2 linked regions of the Styela clava genome follow. The protein of the gene in region 1 binds, or shares a complex with, the protein of each later gene. Links are inferred from orthologs where the notes say so. Each region holds a gene or a part of one and is shown in the gene's direction. Other genes may lie near its edges.

Region 1 (10,167 bases):
GTATTGCTATCATAGTTCAAATTTATCTCATTCTCATTTAGAAAACAATGCATCATGTCAGAAACAATGTTCGATTTTTTGAAAGATCATGTAGCCAATATACCTGATGTACAAAATGAAGATGAAGCTTCCGGGAGTATGGGTCTTTCCATGGAAAGAGAACCAGCGAAGAAAGTGGTTCGGAAAAGGTATGCATACGTTGTTCATGTAACCAGGAATATATAAAGGAAAATAAACTTGAAAACTACAACTATTCAAATAAATTTTCGTATTTTCAATAGGTACAATTTTGATTCCATACAGTAACTGACTTAAATGATTTATGGCTTTTTTATAACTTATTATGTCATATTACTACTAATACAATAATTTCCTTTCTAGGAGTTCTTCTAAAGTTAAGAAAACACCAAAAAAACGACTAAAGCTAGGACATTCAAATAATTATAGCGAAGACGAGGTTTGTGTTTTAAAATACATTTACTGTAACTGCAAACTACTCAAATATTTTTATCCTCTTGGCATGTACTATTGTTTATATATTTTTTGTCTTCATATTTTTGAATAACAACCTAGATAAGCAACAAAGCTAAGTTAAGGAAATAGTGACTCCAACTTCGGGCCATAAAAATTCAGACTCCACACTTAACTCCTTTAGTAGACTGTTAATTTAAATTCCTCAAAATCAGACAAGTTTCATTTATTCGAAATTAAAGGCGAAAAAGTATTCTGGAATCTCTCACTAAGTGAATAATATGCAAAAATGTCAACTTGAAATCAAATATTATTGTTATTAGAGACATGACATTTTTATTCGCTTTTAATCTGACTATCCGTAGTGTCCATAATAATGACTAAATCCTAATATACACCATATTTATGTATACTAATTTGCTATCAATATTGTACATCTGTGTGAAGAGGAGACATTTAACAAACTTAACTTGACTTTAAGACTGATTCCGGTAATGATGCGAGTGAGAACGAGTCCGGAAACGAAGAAAGTGATGCACAATTGTCATCTTCATTTTCATCACCTGGTCTACTCAGTCCATCAATTCAAAGTAAATTAGAAATGCAAAGGTATGAACTGTGTGTTAATAATGATGCTCTGTGTGTTACTTCTAAGTAAAATAGTACGACATATTGTAGGTACTTGCTATGGCTTGGCAGTTGTGCATTGCGCTAAGCGTCACTCTTTCCATTGCACCTGTGCGAGAGGATAGCTGTAATGGTCTTGTGTAAGAGGATTTTTAGGATTCTCGTTAACACTGTATGGCTCACATAAATCAATAATTAAGTTTGCTAACCAGAATAGCATCCGGCATTGTGCCATGGTTCTTTATATAATTAGATTGTCTCCCCTGTTTTGGGACATATATAAAGATTCTTTAATATGCTTGACAAATCTGTGTGATACGGTAATACGACCTGGGTGAGATGGTGGGTGAAGAGTGAACCCAATATCTTTCACCGCAGCCTTCAGGGGGTCGCAAAACTTTTTAATATATTGGATAGGGTCGCAAGCTTAAAAGTTTGGGAAGCCCTGCTCTAGCTAGGTGCCAGTGGTTTCCTATACTTTCATTGTTACAGCTCCCCCTTTAAAGACTCATGCAACATGTCTAATTATTAAAAAGCCAACAGAGCCTGAATGAATTGCAAATAAGTCAAACAAACAAATGACAGTCAATTTAATATTAATCATGTAGTTATTTCAAATGGTGACTGATGAAGGTTCTCGCTCGTCATCCCAAAAGAACTGCTTTTTGGCCCCTAAGAGGAGTCAAGGGCTCATTAATTAAGATACCCTGCTCTATTACATTTATTAAAACCTCAACAGTTTTGTGAATTATTTAATCATTTCTATATCCATGTTGAATTATTTTCATTATTTCAGCACTTCTTCACTACACAATCAATTTGAAGCTGATCAGGTAACAACTGGACCTGAACGCAAACCATCTATTCACATCCCACTTGATGTATTGTTGTCTAGTGATGCTTTACCTTCTACGGTGAATGTCAACCAACCTGTAAAAATTGAAGCCTCGTCTGATACAAATAAAGAACCGAGTGACAATAAAAAATTCACTGATCTTGAAAATAACGAAACAGCAGACAAACCAGCACAATCAATGGATACATCATTACCACAAGAAAACAATAGGCATGAAAAACAACACGATTCTTCTGTCAGACAAGGGGTTATCGTCGCAAACACAGCAGTATATTCACAGTCTACTGCAGCTGTAGGCAGTGCTAATATTCGAGATACGCAATGTGCAAATCAGAAGCCAATACAAGCGAGTTCTAATGAAGTAAAAAGTTTAGAGGAAAGTGAGTCAAATACAAGCACAGGCAGAAACAAACAAAACATAGACGATTTTGGCGATTCTAACAAGCCTTCTCAAGACAATGTTCCTCCAGTGATTCCAAAACCGGGTGGCATGTTATCTTTTCTTTACAGTTCCGCACCTATGCCTCTACCACAATTACCGGCTACGACCACTGTTTCGAAGGGACCGTCTTTGACGCCCCAAGTCAAATATGCATACTCCCCACTTACGCAACACAGATTGCCAGAACCTTCTGCTGGCCTAAGACAACCTCTTTTGTATCCTGATACTCGTCCACCTCTAAATAACCAGCTGAGCCTGGAAAAAACACAGCACGGTGCGGCAGCGCTAATAAAACAAGAACTTTCATCTGGGCCCCCAGATTTTCAACGTGCACCTAATCCTTATACTTACCCATATGTTCCGTATAATCCAACCACAACGCAGAGACATTACTTAGGATATACGCAATCCATCCTGACGCCACCGAGCCACCATTTAGGCATAAATTCACACTTAGCAGCTCATCCTAGCTTGCATCAAGCAAAGCCTAATTCTAGAGCAAAAAGTGATGATGATGATTACGATGCTTAGGTTATTTTATGAAAAACATGAAGTCGATCAGTGGCATGAGTTCCAGATGCATTCTGTATTACTAATTTCTATCCCGTTTGTGAACTATTTTATTCAGATATTCTATTTCTACATTGGAAAGGATTGTTTTACTAGGGGAAGGGGGATTAAAGCTGATGAACATGCATAATTATAAGGTGAACCACTGCCTCTGGTTTGGTTGTGTCTGAGGTGATGTATGGGGATAGGTAACCAGATCAACGAATAGATATTTGCATGGTCCATGGAGTGGTTACTCGAGTTGTACTGTAACCATCCATTCCAGTAATCCTTGTAAATTATCCATTTGAAGGCTTCAGGCAATCAAGATAATATGTTCATCATGGTTATTATATAAGCATATGCTGATCCAATGTTTATTGGAGCTAACTATGATGTTACAATCTTTTATAAAAACATAATTCGTTGTAATTCTGGCATCAATTTTCTTTGATTACTCAAATCTAATGTTCAATAAATATTCCATTTCTTTTTATGATAATTCTACTGCTGTACGACTAATTTTCTGATTTGAAGTACACAGTAAATGAAATTCAACCTATCAGATATTTTTTGTCTGTTTCTTTGTGACTGAAAAACAGTTTTGGCAACTAATATTACAGTTCCTATTATTATTGTTGAATGAAATATTATACACCATAGTTTTTACCAGTGTGCAAATCTTATTGAAGAATCGTAGTTAATATCAAAAAAAAATTTCGTCTAGTGAGATTTCATATATTGAAACACTTGAACCTAGATTAATGATCATGTCGTAATTATTCTTTTTCATCGAAATGATTTCATTTACAAGATGATTTTCTATCTGTCCGCTGCTCAGATTTTGCGCGAACAAGCTGGTAGTCCTTAGTTTGTTCCTAACACATTTGAACTATTATGACCATTTTGATAGACTCACCTCGGCACATTTTCTTACAGTCCTAGAATCCGAATCATTTGTTTATGCAAATAGATGTCTGCTCATGTAGGATATATAGGGTTCATTCTTGGCACTTTGTGTCGAGTGTGCTACTGAAATGATGTATTAGACTGGAGCTGTGCACCATGTTTGTTGAAAAGGTGCAAAAATATCAAAATTCTGGATGAAGTATGTGGTTGGGATACCCAAATACTGTATTCACAAAAACCATTTTATCACCTGTTGTGCTAAGTATGAATTCATCAATCATGTCATACCACCCATTCATTATAAAACTATGGTCTGTACATTTCAACATGATCCCGAGTACCTGTACCTATTATTCAACCGACAAATCTTGATGGTGGAGGAAGCCGTAACCGACCAGCGGTTGCGTGAACCACCCTACGGCGGCGAGGAGTCAAGCAATCCTCTGGCACGTGACCATCCCCGAACGGGGTGCGAACCCACACAGAGTAATCAGAGGTGCGGTGGCGAGTGTATTCCTAACGCTTAGCACGATGAGCCACACTGCCGCGCCGTCATATATTATCCTCGTATATAATATGGTAGTCCCTTCATTTAAGTTTGCCTCGCTTTTAACCTTCGCGTTGCTTTGTAGCTACCTAAGTTCGATTGCGTCAGATTGTGTTCCAAAGTTAACCACGTGCTTATTGGCAATTAAAGACGTGAAAGGCGCAGAAGATGGATAGTATATAACAGAGGTGCGGGAACTTGCGATATGTAAGACCGGAGATAACAGTGTGCACGGTATGTATTATTATTGGACAGTCTTGGGTACGAAGCGACCGCAAACCTTGACGATCGTATCAGTATAAGTTTATTTTTATTTTTCCGAAACGAAAAAACACGCAAAACAGCACAATGAACACACATTGATTGGGGAAAATGAAAAAAAAACTTCATCTAGGTTAAGAAATACAAAATCATGTTTAGATATTTTATTTCTGTAGAGCATGAAGTACTGACACAAATGATTACAGAAAGATCAATTAAGAACAAAGCGACGTGTACATAATACCTTTTGTCAACATGTCAGTTTGTATTGGAAATTTTGACGCTGGTCAGATGATACGAACCTGCAAACCCACGTAGGGTAATTAGAGGTGCGGTGGCGAGCGTATTCCTAACGCTTAGCACGATGAGCCACATCGACGCGCATCTTAGGATTTATAGGATAGGATTTACATGTTTATCCTGGGGAGAGAGGAAAGCCGATAAGACGCCTTAACCATATGGCGAACCACGGCCTCTCGTCCAGTCACCATTCCAAGTCGGGTATGGGATTAGTTCTATATTGTTTTGTTTTCGGAAGCATGGACTTGGTGGTAGAGGAAGCCGTAACCGACCAGCGGTTACGTGAACCACCCAACGACGGCGAGGAGTCCAGCAATCCTCTCGCACATAATCATCCCTGCATGGGATTCGAACCTGCGAACCCACGCAAAGTAATTAGAGGTGCGGTGGCGAGCGTATTCCTAGCGCTTAGCCCGTTGAGCCACACCGCCGCGCCGCGCCGAGCCATCTTATTAGTCAATCATCATCATTAGTCATCGTATCCGTCAATCACAAATATGTAAGTATAAATTTGGTTTGTGATTGGCACCAGACTAAAGGGTAGAGCTATGGAGTCGGAGAAATTTTACGATCGTTTTTTCATGTGCGGGATGATTGCTGAACAGCTCTGTCTAATCTCCATAATTTTGAACATGGAATTTAACCATCCGCAAGATGTTGCGCGAGAGTCAAAAACTAACGGATAAAATTGTGGGTCCTCCCGAATTAATGAGTTGCGACAAGTTACTCACATTAGATCTGCTTGCAGTCGGGAGGAATGTCGTCTTCAGTCTGTACGATTACTTGCGGCATACAGTATTGGACCTTCAATGATAGACAGTGCCAAATCCCAGGTATGTATGTACCGCATGGTATCCTTTGAAAAGAAGTTGGCATTAATCTAGTCCAATTCACAATCAGTGCTTATTTATTTATTATTATCAATTACAGAATTATTAAATCGTCATTCATGCTGATTATGGAGGCGAAATAAACTTAGCTGATTTAGGATCAGAGTTAGGGTATGACATACTTTTTAATTCAACAAAAATTTTTTACCTGGCAATCTGTCAACAGCAACAAACTGACAAAGTAGTTGCATTCTCAGCCCTTTCCTGCTTTATATTATTCGGGTCTCATGTAGTTTCGTGCCTAACATACGTCTAGTGGGCGTATTATGACAATTTTCTCCTGTATCAATTCTAACCCCCAACTGACTACACCATCCAAAAATTACATTAACACAACGTCACAGACTCACAGTGACGTAATAGAGCCCTTCAAACTATACGAACTGCCATCCAAGATGCGCAAAGAAGTACCCGAAATCGAACAGTTATTTCTCTCGTTTTCTCGTCGCAACGATTCCAATAGAAGAGAGATCGATAATGTCAGTCAGTTCTTTATCATCGCCGCCAATGCCATTTTGGGCGATTGTACGAGTATTTGGCAAGCTCTATGACGTGATTGTGATGTCGTAGTGATGTAATTTTCAGATGGCGTAGTCAGATGGGGGTTATGATTGACATATCAAAAAATTGTTATGCTACGCCCACTAGAAGTACATTAGGTACGAAACTACACGAGACGCATATTATTCTACAAAGTCTCTACATTTCCACAACAAGACTGGTGCTGTTTATGTTCGAAAAAGACCCTGTACAGCTGTATAAAAAAATTCTGTATCAAGTATGGCACTACTACTGTACTACAGTCAGACAGTTGTATTGACTATAATCCAGTAATCACCATATTCAGATATTATATAATAATCACAACCACTCCTGAATAACAATTCATTAATTTCTTCATTGATATATTTCTTCTATTTTTATAGAAGACAATCTTTCTGCATTCTGTTATTACGACAAAGAATCGAAAAAGCAAGATGGAGCTAGACAGAAGAGTCAGAAAATTAAAGGACAATATTATCACACTAAACAGCAGTATGTTGAAAGCAGAGGAGGAACGTGGATTCTTCCAAATAAAAGACCAGAAAGATTGAAAGATTCGATCAAAGAATTGGAAGAAATACTGAAATCTCATAAAATTCTTCATGTGAAATGGGATAAACGAAACAGTCTTCAGGTTTGATTTCAGTTCACTTTTATATCTTATTTTATAGAAATTTCAGTATTTGGAAAGAAACATGATTTTTGGCGGAAGCATTCAGGGTTGTTAGTGTTGTTTACCATGTTTTTATTGATTTCGAAGATATTGTTGTACCTTCAAACTCTCGGGAGTGGGAGCCCGATTAAAAGTTTTAAGCATTCTCAACAGACAATCAAAGAAGATATGTATATGCTAAGATCACTTCCAACTGAAATTAGGAAAAGTAATAACAATAATGAGACAATATGAAGTTTATTTTTATATCAAGCATCAGGTATTATTTGAGATGTAATGTAGTGTTGCTGCTTGATTGTTGATGAGCATTATCCAGGAGTTTTGGTTGTCCATTCATTGTCATTGTTACTGTTATCTAGCTTGCTTGAGTTTACTTATGTTGAATAATTAAATGCAATTGATACAAAAATTTGTGTCATAATTTTTGAGATGTTGTATGTTCTGTTATTACTATTGATTGTTCAGAGGGTATAGTCATTTATTAAAATATACTTAGAAAATGGTATCTTAATTTTCATATGTAGCAAAATTGTACTTATTTCCTAGCTGTAGGAAGAAAAATGCAATGATTTGTTGACAACTAATGTTAGTATGCTAAGCTAAAAAATATAAACCAATAGCATATTGTTTTCAGATAATTGTTCATTCTGGTTTGCTGATAAATATACTTTTATCGGAGAACTTCGATATACAGAAAATATTTTTTGATAAATCTTTGTTGACAAAAATACAACCAGACTTCGGACCGATTGGTGCAGGTATTGTAATATGTATTGTATAACAAGTTGTATAAGGAATAATATATAATATAATATTTACAGATCTAGTTGAATCTGAAAAGATTTCTAATTTTTTGAGATGTGATAGCTAGAGTAAAAGGCCAAAAATGATTTGATGGGGCTCAGATAGTATACATTGTTTCCTCTTAATTGGAATAAATTTTTCTGTTGTCTTATCAATATATCAGATTTGGAAAATAGCTAGGCTTTTAGCAGGATATAGCTGACAGAAAGTATTTCTTCGCTTCCTAAGTTTCATGTATTTCTTTCCAGGCTTTTCATTATCATCTTAAAAGTTTCTCTTATCACTATCTATATTTAAATAATAATTTTCTGTTTCTCATTGCAGCCTATCTCACAGATCGATTTTTATTACTTTGTTTGGATGAGGCAAATAAGTTATGTTTTATAAGTTTTGTACAAAGACCTGCAACTCCCAATCAAAAACAACTATCAAGTAAATTATCATCAATGGACATGAAGATATCTTATCATGATATACCAGGTTTGTTTATTGTTTGCCCATAATTATAAAATACAGTGACAGCGAGCCGGTATCATGTGACAGAAAATTATTTTGTTGATCGTGGCTGATAAGTCGGATGAATTTAGTTTGATTGAATGTTTTGTTTTATTAAAGTATAGTTATATGATATGTCCTTATCTAAATGTCATGATTCATAGATTTTTAAAATTAATTACCGGTAGTTTTATTTTTTGAGGTGAATTCCTGATTGTATGACGAAACTCAAATATTTTTTTTGAAAATATGATTATGTGCAATAGAAATATAATTTTAATAAATGTACAGTTCTATTTAACTGCTACTATTACGGTTTATGTGTATTTCACCCTGAACAACACTTCATACTAACATCCACTGCTATAGTTTAGAAGTGCCAAAATCTTTTTTTCTGTTTTCAAACATTGTCTACTCAATTTATTACCCCTGAGTGAAGTGGTGATAATGGAATTTGAGTCCGAGATTTGTCATCTCTGATTCCAACTTAGTCCAACGCTTCCATCATTAAGCCATCGCATGTTTTACAACACCGGTCAAAAAACAATGGCAATTTAAAATTTTAGAACTACAAATCAACTTCTTATCGCTACAAATTTATGATGACTCGTACAAAAACTTCTTTGAATGTAAACAAACATAAAATATGTCTATTCAACATTCAATTTTTTTTTTATAAATATCTTGTTTAAATTCAATTTTGAATTTTATTAGGTTTTCGTTCTATGAGAGGGAATAGAAAACTGTGTGTAAATAAAGCTCATAATCTTGCGATATGTTGGTCAACATCGCACACAACACCATCAACATGGACTTCCACTGATGCAAATGAAGAAAAAGCTAATATGATTCTACTTGGATCTTCGTTTGGCAGGTGAGCAAGATTTGATATAGTGAAACTCGGTAGTCTAACGATTCCATACTCAATTCAGATAATGCAGTAAAAGTCGTACACTATTTATTAACAACTTGTTACTGTTAAATCTTTCTCTTTTTGATTCAGATTGGAAATCTACAGTTCTATATATACAGAATCTAATCCAATTCATGTTGAATTCAGCAGAAAGAATGAAAATCAGGTAATTTGGTAATTAAATTTTACATCAAGTTTGGTGAAGGTCTGAAGCCTATGGAAAGGGGTAATATTCTCGGGTAACATAGACAGTCCCCGAACTCGTAATAGAACTAAAATAAGGAAAATCGGAATGAAATTATGACCTAACCCTAACCTGGTACACATACTACGAGAGTACCGTTTACTAGCGTTAGTTCCTTTGGGGATATTTTTATGGTTATGATTTTCATTACATGCGTATTAAGTAGATTCATATTTTATAATGAAACTAGGATTTGAGCACATTTGCTCAGAACAAGGCTCTGTCCAATTATGTACTTGCACACACTGTGAGGGATAATGTATTCAATTTTACCAATAGAACTGAGTTAGTTTATAAGAATAGGATTTACTTATTTATTCTGCGAGGAAGGAAAGCTGATAAGAAGACCTAATCATATGACAACCCATGGCCTCTCGTCTGGTTACAAGTCTATGCCGGTTGTGAGGTTAGTTAGCCAGGTATTTGTTTCAGATATATGGACTTGACGGTGGAAAAAGCTGTAACCAACCAGCAGATGCGCGAACCACCCTAGACCCTACGGCGGCGAGGAGCCCAGAAATCGACTTGCACATAATTATTGCCCACTGAATTCGAACTAGGGATGGGCAATGTAGAATAATTCACTATTCTAGAATATTCTAGAATAGTTAAACCGAATCCAGAATACCGAATCCTATTCTAT
Region 2 (10,862 bases), on another chromosome or scaffold:
ACGATAACTTTACGTGGTGGTGTACGATGTCATGTGATGCATCCTTACAATCAACAATGAATGAATGAAAATAGACAAATGTGTATCCGTCGGCCCAGAGACGGAAAATGCGTCCGTTTGAGGGCTTTCAGCGCAAGGCTATTGTTATTGTGCCGAGTGATGAAGAATATAAGCAGCGTTTTGAAAAACGCACACAGGATGAAGGGAAGGAAGTACCTGATATGGCCGTTCTTGAAATGAAAGGTATCGTAACCGTCAGACTTCACGTCTCGATGGGTACTATTAGTTGTCTTATAATATACGGCCTTATTGTCTAACTAACAGTTTGGGTATAATATTTTTTTTGTACGAAATTAACTTTTTTTTCCTTTTTTTTTTCTTGTCTCCAGCTAACTTTTCTCTCCCCGAGAAAGGAAACTTGTTCGACGAAGTAATCTTTACCGAGCTGGAGAGAGAAGAAGCGGAAAAACTTGTCGAAAAATACAGAGAAGATGGACGAAAGAATGGTCCACCTCCTGAAAAAAGATCCAGAAGTATGGATTTTTTTGTCGGCTGTCTGGATACTATTTACGATAATTGAAAATGAAGATATTTGTAAAATGTGGTTGTTTTTTATTCAGCGCTTGAGCGCCTTCTACTTGTACAAGTAGTGACTGCTTCCTGCTGTCGTGAATATAGTATTATCAAATATTTTTGAAAAACTTCTGAGAACAAATAACAGGTGAAGCCGCGGGCCACACCTTTATTTAACAGACTTTCTAGTAGTTACTGGTACAAAAATTTTGGGTATTGATCTTCTGACATGTTGTTCGCTTTGCTCAGGTGTAACGCAAAAGAATTTGAATTTCTCGCACATATTAGATTAAACTAATTTAAAAACTCATTTGGCTGGCCTCACACCATATTATTGGCACTACTCTGTGACCTACACAATTTTTCCTTGTGGGCTACATTTGGCTCGCGGGTCGCAGGTTGAACACCCCTGATTTACAGTATTCTCTTATATTTTAGTTGAACTACACTTTCTAGCTGTTCTTATAACATATTTCTCCATATAGATGGTGACAACAGGAGCAGAGGACCCGGTGGGTGGCGTCAAAGAGACAACTATGGACCACCCATGCCATACGGAAATAGGGGTGGTTGGGGAAGATACGGAGGAGGGGGTGGGGGCCCAATGGGGTACGGCAGAGGAGGCGGAGGAGGTGGTTTCGGGGGTGGATTCAGAGGTAGAGGTGGAGGCTATGGAGGAAGAGGGGGTTATGGAAACAGAGGATACGATCAGGGAAGAGGTAAGTAGTATCTATAGTCAAACCAAATTTTGTGATATTTTTATAGTATTCAATATGTTTATGGGGCACTCCTGTGATATGTGTACCAAGTTAGGGTTAGGCCATAATTTTATTCCGATTTTTCTTATTTTAGTTCTATTGAGTTCAGGAACTGTTTGTGTTAGCCAAGTGAATACACCCTCTGCCAATACGTTTCAGTCACTTTATACAACTCGAGGTAAAGTAGGCAAACAAAATTAGTTACCTCCATATTGGCCATGTTTTGTTCTTGGCAACATAATTGCTATTGGTAGTGGAGGTGTTTATTCTGTTCAGTTAGGTTTGGTAAATTACCGATACTTGTCTTGCCAGTTTGATGTCACTACCCATGTGTTACCAATCTTGCTTCATTTAAACTAAAATTATTGACGGAGTCATCTGATAAGATGGTTTGATTATATAAACAAACCACAACCTTTAGTTGGTGATTAGGTTCTATCTAGCACTTGTATGGGAACTACATTCTACAGTTTCAACATGCCAATTTTAATACTTGCCAGGTGGTAAAGCGCCATATTAAAATCTGAGAACTATGGTTTGTTTGTCAATCTAAAATGCTTGTCAACGACTCAATGTTTCCTCTGGATTAAGGATGGGCAAATTACGGCCCACTGAAGTGTTTCGTCCGGCCCACTTGTGTCTGCTAAAACTATGACTAAAGTTTTTATGAATATATATTTCAATGAAAACATTGATGGGAATAACAAATTGTTGGCAAAAATATTCTCTACACATAACCCTAACCTAAATATAATGTGCAAATAAGCCTCATATACCTCAAACTCACCCATCCGAATTATTAATGTCATTGTAAAACTTTAACTTCTCTGCCAGGAACAGTGCTCGGGACTAGCGTTTAGACGTGCAAATTACCTTTTTCATTCATAATTTCCTATTGGGTTAAGAACTTATGGCCCAGTGACCAAGTCTAGTATCTGTAAGTGGCCCACTAAAGAAATTAATTGCACACCCATGTTCTAGATTACAACCGTGGAGGTGGACGAAGAGACAATCGTGGCGGAAGTGGTGGCGGCAGTCGTGACGGAGCCAAAAGAGGTAAAAGCAATAATGTAACAAGAATTTATTTGCATAAGTTATGTGAGATGCTTGCATCACATCAACACAGATGTTTCTAACTACAACAACAAGAGAGTAGTAAATTTATGTCGACTTTGTGTCTAAAATGCAAATTTCACTTTAAAACAAACAGCAATTTTGAATTGTTCAAATTTCATTATTATGCAATTTTTATTTCGTTCACAGTAAATCTATGGAAAACCATACAATGTAGCTAGAATCGATTCAAACATTTTTACATATTTATTTTATATTTGTCATTTCATTATTTGTAGTCTCTCATTTTGTGTTTCGCTAATACAACAGGTGGATGGCAACAGAGTCGTGGCGGATATGGAGGTGGACGCGGTGGCGGAAGTGGTGATATGTATGGAGGATACAATAAGTATGTTTTTATAATATGATTTAATTGAATAAATCTTCCATCTATTTTAATTGTTATTGTTCAGTATTGTTCCAATCACTCTCAAATTTGATGGTGTTTATGCCTTACCTAAATTCAGTTTTTCGTGATGAATATAATACCTTGACGACGAATTTCACACTTCTCAAAATAGGATTCTAGAGAAGCAGAAAAATATTCAGAGCGGCAGAATAGTTACCATTTGGCGTTGTCTATGCATTATGTTTTATCCCGAATGAAACGCTGTTAATGTTTCTAATAATTTCCATTTTCAGGCACAATCAAGGAAGAGGAGGAAGTAGTAGTAGTAGTAGTAGTAGCAGTACCGGCAGTGGTGGAGGAGGTTATCGTAATGGAGGCGGAAGTGGTGGATACCAGGGAAGACAAGGCAGTGGTGGACAGAATAAATATCAAGGAAATAATGCCTCATCTAACACTCATCCTTCAGCTCAGGTATGATGTAGTATTCAACCTCTGCGGCATCAAAGCTTCTTTTTACATCGGACCTGGGCTTCTACTTCATAGGCAATGGTTTTATTGGTATGACCATTACCATTTTAGCCATATTTCTTGCCACCATCCAGTTAGTTGAACTCTAGAAGTGGTTCAGTGACATGGGAAATTCAAATATCTCTGTAGTTCCTGTAGCTAAATATGTAGTCATATTTTGGAGGATCGGTTATTAAGAAAATTTTTATCTCTTGATATTTCAAAATTAAAGCAAAAGGAAGCTGTTTTAATTTTCATTCATTTTTTATCTCTGGTCGTGGCACTTTTAACTCTTATTATTCTCTCTTTTTAGTCGTACACTTACGGTCATCACCCGAACCAACAGCAACAACAACCACAACAGAGGCAGCAACAACAAATGCAGAATTACGCCAACTATGGTATGCAGGGCTATAACTATCAACAACCTAGCACTCAGTCACAAACTTCAAATGCTCAGACCCAACAACAAGGCTACCAACAACAATACGGACAACAGGTTTTTTAGATTTTTTAGTTCATTTGCTAATTAATCCGCAAAATGTATTTATCCCAACTCAGAACAATGGGACAAGTGTAGCTAATTGAAACAAGGGCGCTCCAGAAGTGTGTGTAACAATCTGGAGGTAACTAATTTTGTTCCCTACTTCACATCAAGTTGTCTAAAGGGACTGAAAGCTATGGGCCCCCTGCCCTGTACATTCACTCGGATAGCAATCCCCGAACTCGTAATAGAACTAAAATAAGGAATATCGGAAAACAATTATGGCCCAACCCTAACCTGGTACACACACTACGGGAGTACCAACAAGTGTACTAAAAAGGGTAAAAGCGGGACGCAACATTTTTGTGACACCGTTCTGAACATTGGTCCATTATTGCCTTACCGCTTTTATGCACAGCAAATGTACATCACTTTTTTTTCTGTTTTTTTTTCGGTGATTCCGATAAGTGAATAAAATACCATAAAAGAAGTTGTCAAAATAATATTAGGCAGTTGGTAAAAAAAAATTTCCTAAATTATTTAAGTAGACAACATTTAAACGAGAATATCGGTTGGAAACCGAAGACTTATCGATCGATAGTTAGGGGATCCCCCAAAACAGAAACTGCGGTTTCGATTCATCCGCTCTTGTAACTTGCGCACTGCACATCGCACACACACACTCGGCGGGTCTCAAAATTCTCTCGCTTTACAAAAATCTAGATCACTATATCAATAATTGATTGATAACTCGCTAATTATATGACATAATTCGCCCAAAATCAATAGGCTTCTGGTCCGAGATAAGATGAATGCACATGCAAAATCTGGAGCAGATTCAATCTCGCTTTCGTGAGATATCGCGTGCATCTAACAGACATACAGACAAATACCTATCAACATACTTATCGATTATAATCGATAAGTAAGAACATGCGCATGTGCCTTTTGAAAGAGCTGTTCATGTTTACTGTGCTGACTAGGTATTTATTTTTCGAACAAATTAATATTTCTTGACTCAGATTCAAGCATTTCGTTCATCTTTTTGTACATTTTTTAATGTGTTTATTTTTATTTGTATATTCAGGATTACAGCCAACAATGGGCACAGTACTACCAGGCACAACAGAACCAACAATATCAAAACTACTATGCTAACTATCAGCAGTACTACAATCAGCAAGCCGCAGCCGCTCAACAACAACAGCAACAGGTGCCAAAATCCTAAACGCTGGAACCTACAACAACAAAAACAACAGCAGTTTGCTTCAATGATCAAGCGTAGGCCAAGTTGTCTGCCTGGGACCTTTATTATTGAGTGTTTTTCTGAAATTTTTTAGCATCTTACTTGATTAAATATCAAAATGAATATCCTATTATTAGAATCGCTACTCTCCAATAAAGGACGAATTGATTGTAGTTTACATGTTGAATTAGGCAAATCTTGCTTTTAGCCTATCAATTTTTAGCAATTGATTTGCGACTCGCGATCGAAAATTTTTTTTACGATCTGAATTTGTTTATAACACTGCCTTTGTATGCTTAGAAATGAATGTTGTCAGTTGATTTTGTAATAGGTTTTATAACTTTTCCAGTTCCATCAATGAGTTGAGAATTTACCGAATTATGTTATTATTGCTTTTGATACAAACAAAAGCCGTAGTTTTGCATGTAGAATCTATTACAAGGAAGCCCATTCGACTTGTAGTAGGTATATAATCTTGCTTTGTAGTAATAATATCATCAGAAATTGACCTTATTGTCATGGGGAATTTGATTGAATATTTTAGACTTGAAAGATGTTAAGTCTTTGTAGTTGAAGCTAAGTTTTCTATTGCATTGGTAATCGAATGTTTATAATTGAATATTGATGGCATGCATCGTTTCAAGCATTTTGAAAATGTAAATAAAGTACAATTGTGATGAAATCAGTTTGGTTTTCATTTTTGCAATGTTAGGACTTGGGGAAGGTGCGCAGTTTCCTATCTTCAATTGTATTCGAAGATGTTTTTGTTCTCATCTCTGAAGAAAATTATTATTTCACATAGTTTTAATTTGAGTTTGTCACTGTGTTAGGCTTAGGCATTACTTGTTGAATGGGCTGACGTTGATCCGAGCTGTGAACATGTTTTTGTGGTGTTTGCTAACTCCTGGTCTGGGATCAGGCTCAGAAAGTGATGGGTCGCCTAGCAAAACTAGCTGTGAGTGTAACCTTTTTTCGAGATATTTGTTAGTGGTATTAAGAGTGTCAGAGTTGGTTTGGTCAGCACGGAAGATGATAAAATATTTACCTGATTACCCTTCAAAGCAAATTATCGTCTCTTCAATATACGTATGTGGGAATGCAGATGCGATATGTCGACAGTGGGTACAGTTTCCAATGACCTCTATCCCCGTGTCATTACCGATTACTCCTTCTGTACAATAAATTCTAATTTTGCGGTCCTCAAGTTGTGTTGATTATACGTAGAAATGGTACAGGGAAAATATATTTCAAATTCCGCCTGTTCTACATTTTGTTCGAAACCTTGGAAAATTTTAATCAAAGGTCCCGCCAGGTGGCCGCTGTAGTACTCGCTGTTTATTGTTTTGAAATTCGAGTGTTGTTGTCTCGGCATTAGGTTTGTAGTTGACGGTGGAGATTTTTCAAGAATCGATAAGTACGATGTGGCGGTCTAATGTTAATGAGAGTACAGAAAACATTTCAGATTTTGACGACAGTGATACATATTCTAGTTCCGGAGCTGATGAGTTTTCTGAGTAAGTGACTTTGTTTTTATTTCAATAACGGTCTGACGGTAGCAAATGAATGAATTGATGCTATTTTGCTGTCGGTTTATACAATTCAATCTAAAATATACTATTTAATTTCCTGCCATACTACAATGTTTAAATGTTGATCATTTTGAGCTACAGCCTATGGACTGCGCAATTTTATGCTCTAACTGTATTTCGTTGGCAATATACGACTGTACGACGCTTTTCTAGCCAAGATAGCTATGCAAGTTTAAAATTTTTGTCCGAGGTTTGGGTACTTGTGTAGTTTCGTTCCACACTAACTTCTAATGAGCGTGGAGCAACAATTTTTTTTTATATGTCAGATATGACCTGTGTGATACCAATAATTTTATTTAATGCAAAAACGGCCTCTTCCGGAATCTTAATTGTTAATAGTTCGCATACTAAACAGTTTACCTGCCTTCAAATTTTGATATTTTCATGTAGCAAGTAACCTAGGCATGCGTGCCTCGTGCCTCATTTTCCTATCACACGAAACACCCGACCAGCCTCTCACTTCTGCTCATCGAGTCTTTTTTATTATAATCTTATCATATTATGTGTGTTGTTTTTGGTGAACAGGCACGTGCATTACATGTTATGAACTATATTCTTGAGTTTTGCTCGTTTTCCTGGCATTTCTGTAATATGATTTTTTGGGTCTCGTTTAGTTTCGTACCTAATGTACTTCTGGTGGGCGTAGCATAACAATTTTTTGATATGTCAATCCTAACAATCTGTCAAATATACGACTATCGCCCGAAATGGCATTGGCGCCTACGATAAAGAACTGACTGGGGTTATCGATCCCTCTCCTATTGGAATCGTTGCAACGAGAAATCGAGAGAAATAACTGTTCGATTTCGGGTGCTCGTTTGCGCGTTTTGGATGGCATTTTCGTATAGTTTGAAGGGCTGTATTACGTCACTGTGACGTCTTAATGACATAATTTTTGGATGGTGTAGTCAGGTGGGGGTTAGGATTGATACATGAAAATTATCATGCTACGCTCACTAGAAGTATGTTAGGTACGAAACTACATGGGACCCGATTTTTTTTACTGAGTGTTGTATTTTCTGAATGAATTGTATTATATTGTCATACCTAACCCCCACCTCAATAACATACTGACATATGTAAAAATGGTTATGCCAAGCCCACTAGAAGTACTTGTGGTACTAGATTACACTACACCTTGAAGTTTGGCAATTTAATGGTAACTGGCTAACTAATCCTGTACCCGACATGGACTGGTAACCGGGCGAGAGGCCATGGTTTGCCATGTGATTCAGCAGTCTAAACCAGCTCCCCCGAGATAAATATGTAAAGCTTATCCTATATTTACTTACTAATTATTTATATGCGCATGCAATTACCTGTCCAGTGATGTTTTCAAATGATATGATAGTAAACATATTCATTTCTACAGTGATTCAAACCCACCATGGCATGATGAAATAGATGATGATGGAGAATTATTTTTTGTTGAAGATGAAACATCAGTACATCAAACAGTGCAGCAAAATAGAGATGCTCGAAACAAAGTAATTTGGCATTAGTAGGCCTAGTTGACCTCTCAGCCAGGCTCCTATTCTTAATTGGAAAAACAAGACTTGGGGTTGGCCTTTTGTGGGTGGGATACACACTTGCCATTGCACAAATTTTGGGGTGATAAAAGTTTTTATTTTGTTGTAAAAGGTTTGTTCTGCCATAATCTATAACTAAAGTTATACATTTTGCTAAATTTTTTTCTCTGGTTTGTTGTTGGGAAAAAAAAATCTTTACTCCATATCTGATGGACAAGTTAATTTTGAATTTTCAGTGGGCCAACTCTATGATGGAAAAGTTGCTATTTTAATTTTCTCGGAGTCCCTGATATTTCACCAAAATTTTAGAAAACACCTCCTGTTCTGTATTGCTTGACCCGCCCCTGTATTTCTTGTCTGCAAACTTGAAGTTCTCAGGCCATACCATACTTCACAGATGCATGACCTCTGTATCTATTTATTTGAGCATTGCTGTCATCTTTGAAGTAATATATTTCTATACAGAAATTCGACAACACATTGTCAAGCACAGACCTGCACGGTACAGCATCAAACGCTCCATCCCATCGACAAACCCATTCAATTAGCGTGAATGAACGAAAAACAATAAGAGATGAATACTTAGCTCATCGGAATCAGCAACAGAATAGACATAGGCAACACGATTCTTTCAGACTTCACTCGGATGAAAGCGACAATGAATTTAAAACTGTCTTTGTTTGTGTGAACTCGGCGTCATCGTATGGATCAGGTTAGAGTTATTAAGGGATTAGTTCTGAAAGTCGTTCACCCCTGCCAGTGAACGGGCACCTCTTATTACTCGTGTGGGTTAATTGATGGGTTCATATGTTTTTCTTAAGGGGGGCCTTTCACTCCAAAAAAGGCTCTGTACAGTGTATACTAATATTTTTTTATTAATGACATTTTTTGTTTGTTGAATAATTGATAACATGTTTGTTGGATTTTCATTTGTTCAATATCAATATATTTTACATTTTTTTTTAGGTGATTCATCTTTGTTGAAACAAATGCTCGGTATCATTTCTCTCAACAGTCTTAACGGAGGACAATATTTTGCGAAGACTAGCGATGATAAATCTATTATAATCAGTGCATTGTTACCTGATGGGCCTGCTTTCAGAAGTGAAGCCATTGAAATAGGTAAGTTTTATAACTTGAAAATGCTATTTAACATGATTAATATTTTCAATTGGTCTCAGCGATTCGGAAAAAAAAGTTTTGGATGCGTTTTAACTTTTTCATTTGGTAAAAGACTTGATGCCAGCAGTCCTTAATATGAAAGGAGCGCCAAATTGTTCATATATATTTGGATATTTTACTTTTGACTGCCAATGTGTTATAATAAATGTTATCAGTTGCAAAGTTGAATTTTAATTATTTTCCAATTCCGAATTTTTTTTTCGAATAAAATTTTTACTGACTGAACGCCGATAATACTGTACTATTAAATGTATTATTTTTGGCCAACATAGAAATTTAGTAAATTACTCATAATTACTACCTTTGAAGGTGATATTTTACTCGCCATTAACGATGTTGCTGTTTATCGATCTAATATAGAGCAAGTACTCAGAAGGATACCCCAGAGAATGGAGGTAGGAAAACATTTATTTTTCCATTAGTAATTTGATATTTTAATCTTTTTTGTTTTTTGGTTAAATATAAGGGATCTGAAATTCAGTAGTATGAGATATATCGTATATAGCGAAAGCTAAGATGGTATAATTTACTATTCTGAATTCTGAAAATCGAATAGGTTGAAAATAATGTTATATTCATCTCAGAAATTTGTACAAACAATTATATTTTTATGTAGAAGGTTTACTTCAATTTGATATTATATACAGATTGTCAGATTTAAAAAGAAACTGAATATTATTTTTGTATGCGTGTCAAATGTCAATGACTCAGAATGAAGAAATTTTTAATAAACTTGTTCTAAATTATTCTTAATAAAATCCAGAATTACCTATATTCATTATACCCATTTTGAAATGTGTTCGAATATTGAATTCAGGTCCATCGGTTATTCAGCTTCAAAATTTTCAACCATATTTTTGACGATAAATTACAATATTATGAAAAGAAGTGAAAGCCTATTTTAATTTCAGCGATCATCTTCTTGTTTTTAGTTAAAATTGACAATACAATGTGAAAAAATAAATCTTACGACACCTGAATTTGGACTTGCATTGGATAGCAACAATTTGTTATCTGACAGTGAACCAAAATGTGTTCCTGTATCTGTTCAACATCTAAAGCCTTCTGTTACAAATGATACGGATTTGCAAATAGGTATGTCCAAGAGATCTATTATTAGAACTTTTTTTGGTGTTAGTCAGTGGTGCCTAACTTTGCAAGTGTGTCACAAAATACCAAACATTGTTTCCTATTTGCCCTATTCGAGAACTGTTTGGTGGTGTGTTGTTCAGTTACTTCACGGATTACCAACTCTATTATATTCTTGTGATTTCAATGCAACTTAGGCCTAACTGTTGGAAACGATTTTAGTACAACCAAACAAAGCAAATGGAAAAATAACATCAATTACTATGCAAGCACAATAATAGCATATCCCAATATGAACTTTGCATAAAATGATCCATTCGGATAAAATTAGCACTGATAGAGAAGTATGACTGGCTATGTAGCTGTATCGTACGTTCATCTCCCAGTCTTCACAAAAATGGTAGCTTTTGGCAATTGTTGGATATGATTAGATTCTTGTCCTG

The links. The genes of interacting proteins can lie anywhere in the genome.
Region 2: the proteins of WD repeat-containing and planar cell polarity effector protein fritz homolog (region 1) and protein inturned-like are in contact, whole or in part, in a cryo-EM structure (PDB 7Q3E), measured with the Mus musculus proteins. The link is inferred for Styela clava from reciprocal best matches to the Homo sapiens genes WDPCP and INTU. Residues at the interface, in NP_663400.2 of Mus musculus: Phe3, Cys4, Leu5, Ile24, Leu51, Ser54, Arg55, Asp56, Lys93, Leu385, Ala386, Glu387, Asp388, Tyr389, Ile427, Lys446, Leu447, Gly448, Ile449, Leu450, Thr451, Arg452, Gly453, Leu455, Leu462, Gln463, Ile465, His466, Tyr467, Gln487; in NP_780724.3 of Mus musculus: Val481, Gln484, Val488, Asp491, Ser495, Asp496, Glu498, Ala499, Ala500, Asp501, Ser506, Glu507, Asp508, Arg513, Arg514, Thr517, Ser532, His533, Leu534, Pro535, His574, Tyr593, Glu610, Gly613, Cys614, Ala615, Ser616, Lys617, Ser653, Pro654.

Annotation. Positions count from the first base shown.
Region 1 is NC_135251.1:12,945,297-12,955,463, reverse strand, and holds the start of WD repeat-containing and planar cell polarity effector protein fritz homolog, read left to right. Parts: upstream 1-5,511; 5' UTR 5,512-5,719; coding exon 5,720-5,795; intron 5,796-6,778; coding exon 6,779-7,029; intron 7,030-7,702; coding exon 7,703-7,826; intron 7,827-8,196; coding exon 8,197-8,352; intron 8,353-9,081; coding exon 9,082-9,241; intron 9,242-9,370; coding exon 9,371-9,446; intron 9,447-10,167. Other genes in the region: uncharacterized protein LOC120336489, read left to right, coding at 42-188, 382-457, 953-1,080, 1,895-2,927. UniProt on the Homo sapiens protein: Probable effector of the planar cell polarity signaling pathway which regulates the septin cytoskeleton in both ciliogenesis and collective cell movements.
Region 2 is NC_135250.1:6,315,970-6,326,831, forward strand, and holds the start of protein inturned-like, read left to right. Parts: upstream 1-6,375; 5' UTR 6,376-6,449; coding exon 6,450-6,544; intron 6,545-7,991; coding exon 7,992-8,106; intron 8,107-8,613; coding exon 8,614-8,860; intron 8,861-9,114; coding exon 9,115-9,270; intron 9,271-9,639; coding exon 9,640-9,725; intron 9,726-10,262; coding exon 10,263-10,425; intron 10,426-10,862. Other genes in the region: uncharacterized protein LOC120343293, read left to right, coding at 75-243, 390-533, 1,059-1,292, 2,313-2,387, 2,715-2,793, 3,087-3,264, 3,614-3,799, 4,872-5,012. UniProt on the Homo sapiens protein: Plays a key role in ciliogenesis and embryonic development.